2 separate regions of the Mus musculus genome follow, and region 1 is reported to be linked to region 2. The links are microRNA targets in miRTarBase. Many come from high-throughput screens and were not tested one by one. Region 2 holds a microRNA gene; the other region holds the end of a gene's coding sequence.

Region 1 (3,406 bases), not on the chromosome of region 2:
ACTGCTTTGGCTCCTGGCAGGTCGTACGTGTGCACTCACCAGAAGACACACACACACACACACACACACACACACACACACACACACACACACACACACACACACACCAGTTAATTTTAAAATGGCTTGGCTACCTCAAAGGCTGGGCACTCTTAAACCTTCCCCTGCTACCCCAGGCCCAATCTAAAGGTAGCTGGGCGTGGCGGCACACACCTTTAATCCTAGCATTTGGGAGGCAGGTGGATCTCCGAGTTCAAGGCCAGCCTGGTCTACAGAGTGAGTTCCAGGACAGCCAAGGCTACACAGAGAAACCCTGTCTGGAAAAAACAAAAAAACAAAAATCTAAAGGTTCCACCCTGTCTTCCTTTGCCTAGCCATTGGCCGCTGGCATCTTTATTGATCAATCAAAAAACAATTGGGGACAAGGACCTTCAGGATTTGGACACAAAGATTCCCAATTAAATCAAAACATTAGAACCAATCCCTAAGAGCATTCCCCTAACTGACAATAAAAGCCGGGCCTACAAGTCCACCAGGGATCTCCATGGGAGACCCCTGCATGTGGGAAATTCAGCTAACACTCTCTACTTTTGCATGCTATTTGAGGCTAGGGTATTATTTTTTCGGCAATTCTTGGACCCTAATAATTGTCTTTCTTCCTATCATAGATCTTTCTCTAGTTACTGCATTTACATGAGATTGGTCTATAATCTGTCAAGTTTTACTACTCACTCTATCAGGACTCCAAACTGACATAAGGAAAGTTGGTATTATTTTTGATTTTTCATAGCATTTGTATATCTAATCTCAAATACTGTAATTTTGAATTTATGTCCAGAATGACATCCAAAGACACTGTGCAAGGAAGGCTTAGATAATAAATCATTTTAAAGTACATCTACTCTCTAGCCTTTTTACAATTTTCATTCATGTGATTAAACCCAGGGCTTCAAGAATTCTGTGCTAGCTGGGCATGGTGGTGAACGCCTTTAATCCCAGCACTTGGGAGGCAGAGGCAGGCGGATTTCTGAGTTCGAGACCAGCCTGGTCTACAAAGTGAGTTCCAGGACAGTCAGGGCTACACAGAGAAACCCTGTCTTGGAAACAAAACAAAACAAAACAAGTAAGAGTCCATCAGCACTGACCAGTGACTCCGTCTACACATGAGGAGCGCGAGTATTTTTATTTCTTTAACTTAACCATGCAAAACGTGTTGACTGACTCATATTCGCATGTAACTCTTTTCTCACATCCGTCACTGAGGGTGAATCCAGAGGAAGGACTGTGATCATCACATGAAGCTGACCTACAAGAAGAGGGAAAAACAACAACCAACCAAGGGACTGATCAGATAATCTTAAAACTGACATCTCTGAATAATTCATCTTAAAGCATCAGAAAAAAAATCTAGAAAATATATCTATTAAATAATATCAGAGCCGGGCTTGGTGGCGCACACCTTTAATCCCAGCACTCGGGAGGCAGAGGCAGGCGGATTTCTGAGTTCGAGACCAGCCTGGTCTACAAAGTGAGTTCCAGGACAGCCAGGGCTACACAGAGAAACCCTGTCTCAAAAAAAAAAAAAAAAAAAACCAAAAAACAAACCCTCAGTACTTAATTTTAGATCCATAGCATAAGTACTGAAATGGGCAAAGTGGTATAAAAAAGCAGCAGAAGACTTGGACAATAAATTCTAAAGTGTTAAATTTCAGAGTTCTTAGATAAAGAAAATGTGTGTTGTGATTACTATGTTTATTATCTAGCAGATACAAGGTATTTTTATCAGTGTAACCCATGGAAACTGACATATTTTGTGTGTGGTGCATGTGCATGTCTGCATGTGTGCACAGCAACAGGAAGGCCCCAGGCGGATGCTGGGGGTGTCTATCAATGGCTTTTCCCCTTATTCATTGAGGCAGGGTTTCTTGATTGGCCCCAGAGCTCCCCAGTGGCTAATATGATTAGCCATCTTATCCTGGGAATCCTCTGTCCACTTCCAGAGTTTTGGAATTCCACGTGGATGCTATGCCTCCTGAGCATCTGAGCTCTGGTCCTCAGGCTTATGTGGCGTTGCTTTAACCACTGAGCTAACTCCTCAGTCTAGAAGATACGATTAATTGTAACGAGGGATTTCACTTTATCAAGAACTCCTTTCAAATAATTTTCAGAAATAAAGCATATACTTTAAGTGATATATATATGCTTTGTGTGACACACGCGTGCACAAACATACTCACAAATCTTCTCTCTTAAATCATTCATATTAGGTTTTACCTGAGCTCCTCAGTGGATGCTAGCTGTAGTGACAATCATAACATGGCCACGCAGAAAAAAAAATCCTGAATCCGCTGCCTCTATACAGTCATTTGTCCTACAAATACTAAACTCCTAAGATGGCTGGGCATTCAGGACAGTTTGAGAACGTGAACATTAATACAGAAGAAAGTCACGTTCAAGTATAAGAACAGCAAACAGACATTAGGAAGCACACGCAAATGATGCCAGCTTGTCCCAAGTGCTATGAAACAAAGCGTAAAGTACCAGTGAAGAAGATGTGACTCAATGTGGTGTGGTTACTGTTGATTTCCCTGCTGTCTTTGTTTGGGACTGGGTCTTGATGTGCAGACCAGGCTAGCCTCAGATTCAGCATCTCCTTGCCACAGTTTCTGCAGTACTCGCATTACAGGTTTGCATGGCCTCATCCAGTACTGGTGTCACCCTGCAGGCACACTCCTTAAATCTCAGCACTTCGGAGGCAGAGGCAGGTGGATCCTAGTCTATATAATGCGTTCAAGGCTATGCAGTGAGACTCAGTCTCTCTTTTGATGCAGGGTCTCTTTACTTAGCCCTGGATGTCCTAGAACTCACTACTTAAACCAGGATGGCCTCAGAGAGACCTGCCTCCCTCTAGCCCTCTAGTGCTAGAACTAAAAAAGGCATGTGTCCTTGGAGTGGGACCCTGCCTCATTCACAAACACACAGATAAACTTCCATAATCTATGTCCTCTATAACTGTACTTACTGTATTATTTCCAAAGTTTATTCCAATCCATTTCTTCTTTTATACTCCAAAACATCTTCATTGTGTGTTTGGATGAGCTACAAGATAATGGTTAAAATTAGAAATGTGAGCTTCCAGCAGCTTAAAGACCAAGAAACCAAGTAGAGATCCTTATGTTTCATGAGAGAAATTGGGTGGATTAAAACAACTAAAAAGGTAAGAAATTCAAATTCAAAAATTATTAGTGGAATAATTTGTTGGCCACAGCCTGACATTAAATTTGAGAATGATACAGTGGAAAGCATATGGAATTATAAGAAGTGACACTCTAGCTGTTGAGTGTGTTGTAGGCTGGCTGATAAGTATATGCTATACTTTTGTGTACCTCTGTGTGTGTGTGTGTGT
Region 2 (3,347 bases):
AGTTAATTACCCCTTCTTGGAACACTCTGTAGCATCTCAGACCCCCCAACCTGCAAATTGTACCTTTTTTAAAATACAAGAGTCTCGTCGTTCAGGCTGGCCTCAACTTCAATATACAAATATACAGCCCAGGATGACCTTGAACTCCATTCACCTTCCAAGTGTTGGAATTAGCGGTGTTTACCGCAGTACCTAGTGTATGCGGTGCTGGGAATGGAACCCAGGGCTTGTGTTAGGCAAGCACTCTATAAACTGAGCTACAGCCCCAGAGGGCCTCTACATTTCTAAGTGTCATTTACTGGGTATGTATGTGATTTTGTGATTAATGGTTGTCTCAAGTACAAGATGTGAACTCTCTGAAGATGCCAGGAACCCTATTTTCTTCCCTTCTGTGTGTTCAACGGTGAGTACAATGCCTAGCGGTTATGCGCGCGCACACACATAAAACTTCCAGAAATGAATGAACGGATGCGCCTTGCGTTTATGTCCCCTCCTCTCTAGCACCACCTTCTGTACCATCACCTGGTACACAGTAGGTGCTTAATAAGCCCTTGTTGAAAGATGAAAAAGTGAACTAAATGTGAGCGCGTCTCTCCCTTGGCCTTTGCCTTCTGCTGGTCTCTTTATACAGAACATGTGTATATATAGTTGTAGATGTAACCCTATATTCATGTGTTATGTGCCCCTCTCCAGGAGTTGGGCTGGGCTGGGCTGGGCTGGGCTGGGAGTCCCTCCCTCCCCTCCCCCCGCCCCGCCTCCACATGCACACAGCAAAACATTTAAAAAGAAAACATCTCAAAACTGCAAAAAACACCACGGGCCCTCCCTCCCTCCCCTGAAATCTTCCCAACACAAAAATAAAACACAGCGCTCCCACGCTGGAACCCCTTTCCCGTCCCGTCCCCCTCCCCAAGGGTCCCTGTTTCGGAGCGTGACGGGGTTCCCCACGCCCCCAGGGGCGGGTAGAGGGTGCGGAGAGGGGCTAGAAGGCCCAGCGGTGTCCAGCGCGCTCGCGGGGATAGACCTGGGGGGCACCCTGATCCGGCGGCCTCGTTGCACGCGCGCCCGCGCACGCGCCCCGGACACGCCCCCCGGCTCCCCCGCGAGGGCGCACGCCCCTACACGGGCGTGGTTTTCCTGTTGAGCGTGTTGGTGTTGGACGCCGCGGCCTCTTTGGACAGGGTCCCGGGCGCGGGCGCTGCAGGAGCGGGCGGCGCGGGCGCGGGCGCGGGTGCAGCGGGCGGTCCGGTGACTGTGACCGTGACGCCGGACGCCGCTTCCTTGGGGAAGGCGTTGTGCAGCGTGAGAAAACCCGCCGAGCTCCCGCGGTCCCGCTCCGAGCCCGCCCCGCCGCCCCCCGCCGCCCCGGCCGCCCCGCCGTAGGCACCCACGCCGGCACCGCTGCCGCCGCCACCGGCGCTCGCCAGCCCCGCAGCCACGCTGCCCTTGGACGGGTCGCGGCTGAGCGTGTACATGGAGATGTCCGTGGAGGCGAAGCCCGGGCCCCCGGGGCCGCCGGGAGACGCATCCCGGGATGGCGACGCCTCGCTGGAGCCTCGGGAGCTGGAGCGGGAGCGGCGGCGGTAGCGGAAGCGGTAACTGGGCAGACGGAGGATGGCCGAGGGGCCGCTCCCGCCACTGCCGCCCGCGCCGCCGCCGGCCTTGAGCAGGTCCGAGCGTGATTGGCAGTGTGCCTCGCGGCTGCGCTCGATGTAGATGTTGACGGCCAGTACTCCGATCACCTCAGCCAGGATGAAGGACAGCCCGCCGAAGTAGAAGGACCAGCCGTACGAGTAGTGGTTTTTCTTCTCCTCGTCCCTCTTGGGGCCAGGCTCGCCGGCGTTGGCCGATATGTACACAATCACCCCGATGATGTTGCTCAAGCCTGGATGGAGACGGTCATGTGGGAGCCTCAAGGCCGCCAGGGCTCCAGCACTACCAACTGTCTTAAAGCCCCAAGACTCTAAGCCAGGTATTCCTCTGGCTAAATTCCACCCGAGGAGTCTAAGCCACGAGACCCACTGGACTAAAAACTACTCGAAGTGTCTAAACCTTGATCCCACTGGGTTAAACTCCAACTCAAGAGTCTTAAGTCCTGCCCACCTGGTCTAAGTCTCACCTGCATTGGGAGTCTAAGTACTCCACTAGTCTAAGAGGCTATCTCTACTGGACTAAATTCCACCAAGGAGTCTTAAATCCTTATCCAGTAATCTAACTCCATCCGTATTTCTGCTGGGCTAAATTCTACTCCAGCAATCAGAGCCCTGCCCCATTGGCCTAAACCCTACCTAGCAGTATAAACCCTGCCTGCTAAACTCTACCCAAGAACTTAAGTCTCACCTTTACTGGACTAAATTCCATTCTAGGAGTCTAAGCCCCGCTGTCATTGGTTTGAAATTCACCCCTACCGAGGTTTAAGTACCACTCCAATGAGCTAACTCTGCATCAGGAATCTAGACCCTGCCTCCAAGAGTCAAAACTCTCCCAGAGAAGTCTAAGGTCTGCTCCTATAGGCAGGCCTACGCCGGTCTTCAGAAATCTAAGCCCCTCCTCCACTGGCCTAAAGTACTTCCCTTGGAGGTCTGGCCTCTGCCTTCTGGGTTAGCTCCATTCCCCAGTTAACATTGGCCCTACTTTTAACTGGCCCAGGCCCCCCTTTCTGCTAAGTTCCATAAGTCTCACCTACATGGATCTAAATTGCACCCGTATGCGGTCAAGGCCTTGACCCCAAGAAGACTCAGATCTTAACCTTCTGAGATTTCTGGCAATGGCTGACAATGGCTCATCTCTATCCTAATCATCTTAATTCTTTTCCGCGGTCTAGCTATCACCCCCAGGTAGTCTGGTTCTGCCCCTTCTGTCTAGCCTCCACTGGCCTAAACTCTGCCCCAGCTCATCTAGGCTCAACGTTGACTGGTCTTAAACCTACCCTTCCTGAGGTAGTCTCAGGCTCGGTTTCCAGCTCCTGGCTGAAGTATAAACCGGTATCTCCCTCTTCTCCTTTTGCTACGAATGATGCAATTCCACTTTAAGTCTCTAGGCTCTGTCCATTGCTGACCTAACTCCCCGCACTACAGAGTCCTTGGCTAGGTATGTAACCTAATTCACTCTGGCTAGCCTCAAGTTCGACCTTCTTAGGTGGCCTTTGTACTCCAGGCCCAACCTCCAGTTTTTTAAACCCCAGGCCCTGTAGGTGTAGGCTAGACTTCCACCCTGCCACATACCTCTCCCAGACCTAAATTCAGCCCCTCCCTGAACAGATCTAGACCACCCCTGTCTACAACATACACCCTGCCATTTAAATGTGTTAAAACTCCCCTCTAGGAGTCTAAGCCCCATCTTCATTA

Evidence for each region. The annotated mature microRNA mmu-miR-935 reads CCCAGUUACCGCUUCCGCUACCGC and lies in region 2 at 1,581-1,604, opposite strand. An mRNA with a match to its seed (bases 2 to 7 or 8) in the 3' UTR can be bound and repressed. Matches are read on the target gene's strand: a 7mer-m8 pairs with bases 2 to 8, a 7mer-A1 pairs with bases 2 to 7 and ends in A, and an 8mer does both.
Region 1: the mRNA of Ndufc1 is a reported target of mmu-miR-935. The part of its 3' UTR that is shown has no 7-base or 8-base seed match.

The regions. Positions count from the first base shown.
Region 1 is chr3:51,404,314-51,407,719 of GRCm38, forward strand. It overlaps Ndufc1 (NADH:ubiquinone oxidoreductase subunit C1), which reads right to left. Exons shown (of 4, transcript NM_025523.1): 3 at 3,023-3,099; 4 at 1,166-1,306. The coding sequence ends at 3,040. Among named protein-coding and RNA genes, the nearest start is that of Ndufc1, 2.9 kb to the right of the region's middle.
Region 2 is chr7:3,413,377-3,416,723 of GRCm38, reverse strand. Gm23450 (predicted gene, 23450) reads right to left here and starts at 1,658; the gene lies at 1,568-1,658. It overlaps Cacng8 (calcium channel, voltage-dependent, gamma subunit 8), which reads right to left. Exons shown (of 4, transcript NM_133190.3): 4 at 458-1,885. The coding sequence ends at 1,119.